Linked DNA regions of Callithrix jacchus. The protein of the gene in region 3 binds, or shares a complex with, the protein of the main gene of each other region. Links are inferred from orthologs where the notes say so. Each region holds a gene or a part of one and is shown on either strand. Other genes may lie near its edges. The genes, in order: NR5A2, NR5A1 and NR0B2.

Region 1 (3,645 bases), on a different chromosome or scaffold from region 3:
TTACAAATTGGCTAACAATCAACATCAGAGAAACTTCACTTGTCAACCTTAGGTGAACAGACGCTGGCTGTGATGCGTTTCAGCTTATCAGCTCCTGTGGCTGGTGTGATCAGTAGTGTGGATGTCACCCTCTGTGCTGCCGAGCTTTCTAACCAGTCTCATGATTTAATCTACCAGGTTAACAACATGCCAATTTGTGACGTTTTTTTAGGTTTAATTTTCAGTGGGAAATATCTTTAAAATAAGAAAACATAGATTTTAAGAGTCAATGTGGCCAGGCATGCTGGCATGCACCTGTAGTCCCAGCTATTGGGAAGGCTGAGGCGGGAGGAATGCTTGAGCCCAAGAGTTCAAGGCCAGCCTGGGCAACATGTGAGGTCAAGATCCCACCTCTTAAAATATAAAATAAAAATCAATGTTTTTGGGTTTTTGGCAAGGTTAAAGGCCTTCCAAATAGTTATAGTCAAATCTCATAACTGTCTCCACCCATGTTACACATGCATGATAGAACTGTTTCATCAACTGTTGACAACACCATTGCTCTTCACGTGTCTTCTAGCCAACTTGTTTTTCAGCTGGGGAGGGCGACGATGCTGCTGTTCTCTATAACACTTTGGGTGTGAGCTCTGATTGGTGATGTTGCATTGTCCTTTGAGCCATGAAGCTAACACGGGTGACTGGGACTGTGCATGAGTCAACGCCCAGCTTCGCTAACGTGTACCCTTCATGTGGATGAGTAGTTAGAGGTGATTAATAAAAGTAATAAAATAATCCTCTTTGTACACACAGAAGCAATAACTAATATCTTTGGTATACAACTTACAATGCTTGGAAAGGAAAACCAGGTAAGACTCCACCTTGTTGTTTACTTGAAAACCAGAGGAAGATACAAGTCACATAATTTACAATAGATATTAAATAAACTACAGTAAGAATTATGAAGATTTACAGACATTTCATCAAGTGAATGACTTTAATTCATTAAGACTCTTCTATGTCCCTGAACTAAGTTCCACTAACTTGAAGACATGCTACAGTAAACACATATATTTGGTTTCTTCAGTCTTGGTTATATCTTATACAAAGGTGAAACCAAGAAACAATAAATTAGCATCATAATTGTCTACGGTTGAAACTATGATATACAATATAAATACACTATTCAAAAGCCAGAAACATTTATGAAAAAATTAAGAGACTAGGAGATACTTCTATTTTTTACAGTTTCTACAAGTGATTGTGCCGCCGATAATCTCAAAATAATTAAAGTCTAAATGAAATTTCCATTTTTGATTTTAGTGTCTCACGACATAGAATAATTAAGTACTGTTAAAAATAATTACCAATCAGAAAAATAACATTAAGGAAATAACTGCTTTTGCTATTTTGTTATATCACAGATCCCCCTGCCCCTCAGGACCTAAAGAATGTAAACACTATATTTTATTTGACTTTAAAGTATTAATACTTTATTTTAAACAAATGTTGATCCTCATCTGCACAGCTACCTTTTAGAATTGTGAAATAAGGCAAGACTTTCATACCTGTGGCATCGCATGTTAATAATACTGATAATAGTCGTTTGGAGAATTTGTGATTCTTTGTCCTCCAATATTTGTTCTACAGCGGACTTTGGCCTATGACTTAGGTCAGTATCACTCTCTTCCTTTCCCCTGTGGGGAAGATTTGAATTACTTTAATATCTTTCCAGCCACATGTAAAAATCATCGTTTCCATCCCAAGTTTTGAGGTTGTTCACTTGCAGTAAGAATAAACCTTGAGTCAATACATCACCTCATCCTTTTCTTTCTCTTTGCATAGATTAACATGCGTCAATTTTGCTTCCAAGTACTTAGAACTGTAACTATGTGACGTCCCAGCAAAATATGTTTAATGTTTTATTTTTAAATGAACTACAAACTTAGAGGATGAAAAAGACTGACGTATCCTAACAAGACTTCCTGCCAGAATTTTTTTTATGAAATCCAACAATGCCAAAGTCACATGTCAGCAACAGTAGCAGAAATAAGGTCTAAGTTGCTTTAGCTATGGAGCATTTGCTTTAATAGTTTGTAGTCATTTCCCTTAATATTAATTAACACTTATATAAGATAGAAGAGGGATACTGCCTGCATTTTCTTAACACCATGAACACATGACAAAACAAACCTCAGAACATATTTAAAATGGCAAGCTAACATATTAATAGAATTTCTTATTAGCTGTTTGCAGGTCTAAGACACAGACATTCAAAATTAGGCTGTTCATGATTTGGTGGAGCTACTACTGGGTGTGGCTGAACACGGGTCCCCCGTACAGATTCAGTGACCACAGGGCAGAGGTGCTGGGGCCTTCAAGGGAAGAGGAGGGGCTATCGTAGGTTCAGCTGATGCTTCTTGAGAATTGTTTCAGTTCAGCTTTACCATGGAGGAATCCTGTAAGCTCAAATCCCCCACTGTATAAGCCTAATGAATAAGATTAGTTCCTAAATTTCTTCATAGCGGAGATCAGTTTAAATATACAAGAATTGTTCTGTCCATTTTTATTCTGACCGTGTTGGTATCCATCTGTGAGTTCAATCCACTCCATTACAATGTCTTGTATGTGGAATCCTCTGGGGTTGTGAAGCCTTTGATTCACAGTTTGCAATACAAATACCCTGATACATCATTTATTTGCTATTAAGTATTTGATTATTATGCCTTTTTAAATTCAATATCTTTAAACCAAGTTTTTAATTAGTGTTGCTTGGAGCAGTTCAGAGTACTTTTCTTCTTCCTGTTCTTCTTCCCCCTCCCCACTCCCTCCAATCTCTGTTCGTTTTGAAAGCAGAGCTCCTAGGGGTTGTAACTTAGGCTCTTTTTGCATGCAACATTTCAATGAGAAGGTTATTATAGGGCACATCCCCATTCAGGTGCTTGTAGTAGAGGTATTCTTCGGCCTGCATGCTGATGGCTCGGATTTCGGGTAGTCGGAGAAGTAGCTGTCCAAATTTCTCTGTCTGCTGCGGGTAGTTGCACATTGTGTAGTCCAGAAGGGCGGCATTGACTTGTTCCTGGACACCTTCTACCAGCTGAAAGTTTTCAAGGTTTTTGACATCTGCATTAAAAAAAAGAAAGCAACATTTCAATAGCATTTTAATTCCTGTTTACTAAAGCAATGGGTTCAATTAATGGATATATTTTCCTTTTGACATAAAGCATACTTTACATGCTGCTGAATATTCAGTAAACCCCACTCACCAAGCTTCCTGGGAAAAGGATCACAAAAGAGCTTTAGAAGAATGTCTTGTTGAATATTCTGCATATACCTCAAATCAATTAGACACCAATGGATTTTGAGCAAGGTCAACTCTTTTCATATCTTACAAAAGGAAAGGTTTGAGGATTCCTAAAGTAGAGGGATCTTAATATATTGCCAGCAAATGAGTCCCTGGAGAAAGACTTATCTTAACCCAGTATATTACACAATTCATATAATTCCGTATTAATTTTTCTGACCCAAGGTGAAATCTGTGTCCAGGGTATGATGTAGTTAATTCTAATAAAAAGTGACAGGATTCTTGTTTCGGTCTGACATTTTCTAAATGATTCTGAAAGTCTTTGACTTGTCTAGCCTATGCTAATGAACCATCTGGTACACTCC
Region 2 (3,645 bases), on a different chromosome or scaffold from region 3:
CAATTAAATGGTGAAGCTCAGAGGGGAAGAGATAGGAAGGGTGCTGCAGCCCCACTTCCTAAGCTTGCCCTGCCTACGGTCAGTTCTTCCCCTGTCCTGGCTCACTAACCCCTTATAGCAACCCTACAGGGTTGACACTATTCCACCTCCTCCCATTATCAAGATGAGGAAAGTGAGGCCCAGAGAGTGAAGTCACTTGCCCAAATCATACAGCATGTAATCGACATGCTGGCACTTGACAACAGGCCTCTCTGATTCTAGTCTTTGACATTCACTTCTGTGCCACTGTCAGCTGACGTGCTGGGATTGTGTGAGGTGAAAAAATGGAGACAGAGGGACCCCCAACCCAGCTGAGAAAGAAGTTAGGAGAGGAAGACCCCAAGAGGACATCTGCAGCCCAGAATCAGACATATCTGGGCTCACGGCCCCCCTGAGAGCTCAGCTGAGACTCCGGGATGCCTCTTGAGCAGCAAGATGCCATCAGCATCAGAGGGCTGAGTGGGCCTCTGCTCCGAGCTCAGGCGCTGCTGGGGGAGCCCCTCCCTGACCCAGAACCTGGAGCCCCAGCCAGCCCAGGCAGGCCATCCATCAACCTCTGCCCAAGGACCCACTCCTGGTCCCAGCTCTGCTCTGACCTTGCCAACCTCTCCGATCCCACTTCCTGGGCCCACTGGGAACTCCCAGGACCTGATCCGCATTTCGGGGCCTTAGTCTATGCTGTGCCCACTGCCTGGGACATCCTGAATCTTCTCTACTTTCCAGAAAGGCACAGAACTCGTCTCTGAATCCCTCAGTTAGAGCTGTTTGCTCTCCCCCAAGGGCTCCCTCTGCTCCTTCAGTGGCTCTCAGAGCCCGGGGCACCTTCACTGGCAACTAGGTGCATGTCTGATGTCTCCTCCAGGCGGCCAGCTTCCTGGGTTCAGCTGATTTAATGTCCCTAGTGCCCAACCCAAGGGCTGCTCCACCCTCAGAGCCAGAGAGCCCCCTCTTCTGTCTGCTAAGATGTGTCCTGTCCGGAGGTGGGGAAATGAATGATCAGCCAGAAGGGATGCCAGAGTCACACACACCCCTCCCACTTTGCCTCCTCACCACCTCTGGGCTTTGCAAAGAGACACTAGCCCAGGGCCCACTGGACCAGTGGAAAAGAACTTCCACGTGGCTGACAGGAGGCACTCTAAGGGCTGGGCTGGTACTTATCTGCAAGGCCCCTTTACAGAGGCTGGTGACCACCGCTTATAATCCTGGGCTCAATTCAGACTTTGGGAAGGGGAAGCAGGAAGGTTTGAACCACAGAGGAGCCAGAAGCAGGAAAAAACACTCAGCAAAGCTGGGACAACAGCCCTTCCCATCCTGCGTGAAAATCCCCGGGAGACTAGGAAGGCAGCCAGAGGAAGTGCCCTGCCCCTGAGCCCAGGGTTCTGGAAGGCCGGGAATGCCCTGCTCCTCCTCCCCGCTGCACAGGGGCTACATGGGGAATCTGAAGGGAAGCTGGCAACCAATCCCTAGCACTTGAGGTCCTCATCCCCACCATGGCCTCATGTTCAAGAGCCTGCCTTTGACCCCATCCATTAGGTCAGGCCAGAGAGGGGGCAGTGGTGAGAAACCCACCCCATGACAGACAGACACATGGTGCAGCCCCAGGCCTCAGCATGAGGGGCCTCCACAGAGGGAGCAGTAGCCACCACCACTGATCCCCACCTCCCCGACAGCCCAGGCCCCAGTCCCACGACACCACCGCTAGGGCTCGGAGCACCCACGCCCCACCTTCATCCCCCTCCACGCCAGCCAGGGCAGGCAGCGCCCCCAGCCCATCCGGCCTCATGCCCCTGGAGGAAGCCCAGGCCCGAGTGGCGCCACACCGACAATGCTGCTCAAGGCTGCAGTGGCCCCAGCAGGGGGGGCAACGGGCCCTGCTGTTTACACCCAGCCCCAGAACAGCCAGGGGGGCAGCCTGGGAAAGCCAAACACCGATAGCCTGGGTTACAGAGTGCCTAAACCCAGGCCAGGGCGGGGCAGGCCTTGGCCAGCTGGAGGGGCCTCTGGGGAGGTCTCAGAGAGCCAGGGCACTGGAGGGTCAGCTCTGGGGCCTCGGGCTCTTCAAGCCACTAGGTGGAAGACGGGAAGTTCTTTCCTATGTCAAGCCTCAGTTTCTCCTGCCGCTTTCCTGATTTTGTAGCTTCAGGTACCTCAACCCAGGGGGTAGGCTGCCTTGCCAGGGAAGATCAGTGGCAGGCCCTGGAAGCCACCAACCTACCCACCTAGCTCCCTGAACACACCACACACACACACCCCACCATCCAGCATAAACAAGATTTGCAGAGGCAGGAGGATCTTTCACCTCAGCTGGGAAGAAGGAACCACGAATGTCCCAGACTCCAAAACACTAAGAGTCCCATCTGTGTGTGCCGCTGGAGGCGGCAAGGATGGGCAGCCTCCCTAAATGGGAGGACAGGATGGGCCAGACCCTTTTCCTAACACTGGGCTGAAGCCTTGGGAGACAAGACAGTCTCCCCAGGACTCCGCTAGTCCTTTGAGGGAGCCCAGGGCCTCAGAGAACGAGGGAAATGTGTACTAAAAGAGCCTCAGAACAGGGAACCTCAGAGACTGAAGGGGCTGCAGAGACGCTGAGAAGCGGAGAGACAGCACGCCAGGGAGAGAGACAGTAGGAAGAGACAGGTGCAGGGACCAAAGCAGCAGAGGCTCGAGGGGCTCAAGGAGAAGGAACGGGAGGGAGCCAGGACCCACCAGGCTGTGAGAGAGCAGAAATGCTCCTCAGTGTTCCAGGGTGGACTGCCTGAAGCCAGTGGGTAGGAGGGCCCCATCTGAAGGACAGTCGGTCTAAGGCTTGGGCAGCCGGGAGGACAATGATGCAAGGCCAGCCAGGCGGGAGGAGAGACTCACCTCCAGCTCCTTGAATACCATGCACCTGCGTGCCCAGTCCACGATGGAGATGAAGGTCTGGTCAGCCATTCTGCACAGGAGGCCGAATGCCGCCGGCTGGTCAGGGCGGCCTTTGGTGGGCTCCTGCAGGCAGCCCAGGATGCGAGCCCGCACCTGGTCCTCATCCGGCTCCAGCTGCAGCAGCTGCAGGATAAGCTCGGGCACACTGGGCCCTCCAGAGAAGGGCTCTGGGTAGCCATATGGCAGCCCAGGCTGGGGTGGGCTAGCGTAAGGCTCTGGGTACTCAGACTTGATGGCACGGCCAGGAAAGGCAGGGTAGAGGTAGCCAGCCAGTGGCCCATGGGCACCGGGCACGGCCATGGGCAGTGCTGGGGCCCCAAAGTCGCCCATCGGCCCAGCAGGGGGGCCAGAGGCCAGGCCCTTGGGCTCAGGCACATGCAGGCTGGGAGGCAGCGCGTAGTCCGGCGCAGGAGGGGGTGGTGGGGGCACCCCCATTGGGGGCCCCGTCTCCAGCTTGAAGCCATTGGCCCGAATCTGTGCCTTCTTCTGCTGTTTCAGGGCCCGATCCCGCTTGTACATCGGCCCAAACTTGTTCCGGCCACCCCGCATACGGTCAGCACGCACGGCTGTGGGCAGGGGCAGAGGGTCAGGCTTGCCCTCTCCGAGCCACCTTCCATGCTGCCCAACCACGGATCCTTTCCAAACACATCTGACCGCTCTCTCCCCTGCTCAACACCCTTTCAT
Region 3 (4,367 bases):
TCTCAGGCTCTGGCTGCGCAATTGGGCCAGTGGGTCCAGGGGAACAAACAAGGACTTTGGAGTCCGGCAAGATCTGGGCTTTGTCTCTTCCTGGTCGGATGACCTTGGGCAAGTCACTTAAACTCTTTTAGTCTCACAAAGTAAGAATCTAGCCTTAGGGGGAAGCTCCCAATATTAGAGTGGGAAGGACTTGACACATAATAGCTGCTCAGTGAATGGCAACCATATATATATATATATATATTTTTTTTTTTTTTTTTTTTTTTTTGAGACAGGGTCTTGCTCTGTCACCCAGGCTAGAGTGCAGTGTCATGATCTCAGTTCACTGCAGCCTCCGCCTCCCGGGTTTGAGTGATTCTTTTGCCTTAGCCTCTGGAGTAGCTGTGACTACAGGCACGAGCCTCCATGCCCAGCTAATTTTTGTATTTTTAGTAGAGACGGGATCCTGCCATGTTGGTCAGGCTGGTCTCAAACTCCTGACCTCAGGTGATCTGCCCACCCCAGCCTCTCAAAGTGCTGGGATTACAGGCATGAGCCACCATGTCCAGCCAGCTACCATCTTTAATTATAATTCTGTAAATTCTTCTCTGCAGATCTGCCCTTTCAGGAGTGGTAGGAATCAGGCCAGGTGCAGTGGCTCACGCCTGTAATCCCAGCACTTTGGGAGGCTGAGGTGGGTGGATCACCTGAGGTCGGAAGCTCCAGACCAGCCTGACCAACATGGAGAAACCCCATCTCTACTAAAAATACAAAAGATCAGCCAGGCGAGGTGGTGCATGCCTGTAATCCCAGCTACTCAGGAGGCTGAGGCAGGAGAATCGCTTGAACCCAGGAGGTGGAGGTTGCGGTGAGCCGAGATCGTGCCATTGCACTCCAGCCTGGGCAACAAGACCGAAACTCCGTCTCAAAAAAATATATAGGAGTGGTAGTAATCAGGTTGGGTATAGGGGTTCCTGCATGGGGCCCAGAACTGGAATCAGAGGAAGGGGGCCTCCTAGACTGGAAAGCGGGCAAAGTCCTCCCAGCCCCTCAGGGTCCTGGCTCCCTTCCCTGCAGCCTGCTCCTGGCCGACAACAGAAGCAGGGCCCCAAGGTTAGGCAAACAAGCTAGTGATAAGGGACTTCCAGGTTGGGCCTTGCATTCAAGGCTCACCCAGCTCTGGGGCTGGCTTCCTGGCTTAGTGAAAGCCCTGATCTTTTGTACACACAGGAGCGGCCACCAATGGGGACACCTGCTGATTGTGCACCTGGGGCCTTGGTGCCCTGGTACAGCCTGGGTTAATGACCTTGTTTATCCACTTGAGTCATCCGATAATCAGCAGCTGAGTGAGCGGCAGGTAGCCCTGTGCCCTGCACCGGCCACTTCATTGACTGAAATGATATCAGCGCCACGTGGGGTTCCCAAACCCCTCCCCCACCACTTCCCCACCAGTCCTGCCAGGGGCAGTGTCTGTGTGTTTTTTTCAATGAACATGACTTCTGGAGTCAAGGTTGTCAGGCCATTCCTCCTTTTCCACTCACTGGGAATATAAATAGCACCTACAGCACAGAACAGAGGATCAGAGAGCTGGAAGTAAGAGCAGATCCCCAACCATGAGCACCAGCCAGCCAGGGGCCTGCCCATGCCAGGGAGCTGCAAGCCGCCCAGCTATTCTCTACACACTTCTGAGCTCCAGCCTCAGGGCTGTCCCCCAGCCCCGTAGTAGCTGCCTGTGTAGGCAGCACCGGCCTGTCCAGCTATGTGCGCCTTATCGCACCTGCCGGGAGGCCTTGGATGTTCTGGCCAAGACAGTGGCCTTCCTCAGGAACCTGCCATCCTTCTGCCAGCTGCCTCCCCAGGACAAGCGGCAGCTGCTGCAGGGTGGCTGGGGCCCCCTCTTTCTGCTTGGGTTGGCCCAAGACGCTGTGACCTTTGAGGTGGCTGAGGCCCCGGTGCCCAGTATACTTAAGAAGATTCTGCTGGAGGATCCCAGCAGCAGTGGGGGCAGTGGCCAGCTGCCGGACAGACCCCAGCCCTCGCTGGCTGCCGTGCAGTGGCTTCAATGCTGTCTGGAATCCTTCTGGAGCCTGGAGCTGAGCCCCAAGGAATATGCCTGCCTAAAAGGGACCATCCTCTTCAACCCTGGTGAGCTCCCAGGCACTTCTGGGGTGGGGGACCAAGGCTGAAGCAGGGGCCAGCCAGGGAAGTAACTTTTAACTTCTAAGGATTTGATATTTGTTATCTCATTGGGTCCTCATTTCCTTCCTTCCTTCCTTCCTTCCTTCCTTCCTTCCTTCCTTCCTTCCTTCCTTCCTTCCTTCCTTCTTTCTTTTTCTGAGACAGAGTCTCACTCTGTTGCCCAGGCTGGAGTGCCGTGGCATGATCTTGGCTCACTGCAACCTCTGCCTCAGCCTCCTGAGTAGCTGGGATTTACAGGCGTCCACCACCATGCCTGGCTAATTTTTGTATTTTTTAGTTGATATGGGGTTTTGACATGTTGCTCAAGCTGGTCTTAAACTCCTGACCCCTCAGGTGATCTACCCGCCTCAGCCTCCCAAAGTGTTGGGATTACAGGTGTGAGCCACCCTACCTGGCTTGGTCCTCATTTTCATCAAATAGCCATCTCACAGAAGAGGCACAGAAAAGCTAAGTGACTAGCTGAAGGTTACACAGCCAGGTAGGGACAGACTAGGATGGCAACTCAGGTCTAGTCACTCCAGAGACTGGCCCTTGTCACTCTGCCTGAGAAACTTGCTCTAACCGTTTTTTGAGACAGAGTCTCACTCTGTTGCTCAGGCTGAAGTGCAGTGGACCAGTCTCAGCTCACCACAATCTCCACCTCCCAGGTTCAAGCAATTCTTCTGCCTCAGCCTCCCAAGTAGCTGGGATTACAGGCGTGCGCCACCAGACCCAGCTAATTTTGTATTTTTAGTAGAGACAGGGTTTCTCTATGTTGATCAGGCTGGTCTCAAACTCCCGACCTCAAGTGATTCGTCCACCTCGGTCTCCCAAAGTGCTGGGATTACAGGCGTGAGCCACCATGCCCAGCCAGAAGTCTGATTCTTAACCATTATTCCATGCTGCCTCTTCATAAATAAATGGATAACTAAAATGAAAATAAATAAATTACCTCCTCCACAGGAGGCAGTAAATCCTGCCCTGACCAGACCAGCCCCACCCCCTTCACCACCACAGTTTGGATTCTTCTCACAGGGGCCAAGTTAATTATTGCTCAAGAAGAGGCCATTCACTTGGGGATAATAGTCTAGGAGTTATCATTCAGGCCATTCTCTAAACCCCCCAGGTTAGAACTATAGCTGATTGGCCTTGTACCCATTATTGTGACCCAGTGCCAGCAGCAAGGGGAACCCTCTCCCTTACCCAGTCTCTCACTCACAAGTCAGACACCAGATAGAGACAGAAACACAGCTGAGACACAAATACAAACCACACAACTCGGACCCCCACCCCCACACACACTAAGATGTACAACTCAGGCACATGTACACGGACCCATGAAACAGACTCTCTATCTTAGAGAAGTCTGAGAGAAAGAAATAGAGAAAGAAATGATAACAAATACTTAGAAAAAGAAATGATAATGATGCTCTCTATAAAAAATACATATATATAAAATTAAAAATAAAATAATAAAAATTAAAAGACTCTCTATCCACCCACTCACAGCCCAGAAAAGCACTGCCTAGATACAGTCACTCAGCAATGTACTGCAGATCCTGACACATTCACACGACAGACCTCAAAGGCCGAGCAGAGGAGGCAGAGGGGTGTCTCTGATGGCTCAGATCTGGGGCCAGTCTTGTCCTTTGGTGGCTGGGAATAGGTTACTCACCAGTCCTCTTCTCCCTCTCTGCCCACAGATTTGCCAGGCCTCCACGCCTCCTCCCACATTGAGCACCTGCAGCAGGAGGCTCACTGGGCGCTATATGATGTCCTGGAGCCCTGGTGCCCAGCAGCCCAAGGCCGTCTGGCCCGTGTCCTCCTCATGGCCTCCACCCTCAAGTCCATTCCAACCAGCCTGCTTGAGGACCTCTTCTTTCGCCCTATCATTGGAGATGTTGACATCGCTGGCCTTCTTGGGGACATGCTTTTGCTGAGGTGACCTGCTCCAGCCCAGGCGGAGATCAGGAGGGCAGAGGCTGGTAGTGCTGATTCAGCCTGGACATCCCCAGAGGTGACCCAGTGCTCCTGGAGGGGGCAAGGCTGTATAGACAGCCAGCCACACCCCACATTGGACTTCCTTCATTTGGACACAGTGCTCCAGCTGCCTGGCAGGCTCTTGGTGGTCCCCACAGCTTCTGGGCCGAGACTCCTGTCCTTTCTTGGGATGGGAATGAAAGCTTAGGCTGCTCATTGGACCAGAAGTC

What was found.
Region 1: the proteins of NR0B2 (region 3) and NR5A2 are in contact, whole or in part, in a crystal structure (PDB 1YUC), measured with the Homo sapiens proteins. The link is inferred for Callithrix jacchus from reciprocal best matches to the Homo sapiens genes NR0B2 and NR5A2. Residues at the interface, in NP_068804.1 of Homo sapiens: Arg17, Pro18, Ala19, Ile20, Leu21, Tyr22, Leu24, Leu25, Ser26, Ser27, Ser28; in NP_995582.1 of Homo sapiens: Phe354, Val357, Arg361, Phe366, Val371, Asp372, Gln374, Met375, Leu378, Gln379, Asn529, Asn530, Leu531, Glu534, Met535.
Region 2: the proteins of NR0B2 (region 3) and NR5A1 are in contact, whole or in part, in a crystal structure (PDB 1YMT), measured with the Mus musculus proteins. The link is inferred for Callithrix jacchus from reciprocal best matches to the Homo sapiens genes NR0B2 and NR5A1. Residues at the interface, in NP_035980.1 of Mus musculus: Thr19, Ile20, Leu21, Tyr22, Leu24, Leu25, Ser26; in NP_001303616.1 of Mus musculus: Ile275, Val278, Arg282, Phe287, Val292, Gln295, Met296, Leu299, Gln300, Asn450, Leu452, Glu455, Met456.

Annotation. Positions count from the first base shown.
Region 1 is NC_133520.1:27,180,712-27,184,356, reverse strand, and holds part of NR5A2 (nuclear receptor subfamily 5 group A member 2), read right to left. Parts: intron 3,100-3,645; coding exon 2,852-3,099; 3' UTR 1-2,851. UniProt on the Homo sapiens protein: Orphan nuclear receptor that binds DNA as a monomer to the 5'-TCAAGGCCA-3' sequence and controls expression of target genes: regulates key biological processes, such as early embryonic development, cholesterol and bile acid synthesis pathways, as well as liver and pancreas morphogenesis.
Region 2 is NC_133502.1:173,113,793-173,117,437, forward strand, and holds part of NR5A1 (steroidogenic factor 1), read right to left. Parts: intron 3,528-3,645; coding exon 2,902-3,527; intron 1-2,901. UniProt on the Homo sapiens protein: Transcriptional activator. Essential for sexual differentiation and formation of the primary steroidogenic tissues. Binds to the Ad4 site found in the promoter region of steroidogenic P450 genes such as CYP11A, CYP11B and CYP21B.
Region 3 is NC_133508.1:63,565,137-63,569,503, reverse strand, and holds the start of NR0B2 (nuclear receptor subfamily 0 group B member 2), read left to right. Parts: upstream 1-1,555; 5' UTR 1,556-1,592; coding exon 1,593-2,124; intron 2,125-3,860; coding exon 3,861-4,102; 3' UTR 4,103-4,367. UniProt on the Homo sapiens protein: Transcriptional regulator that acts as a negative regulator of receptor-dependent signaling pathways. Specifically inhibits transactivation of the nuclear receptor with which it interacts.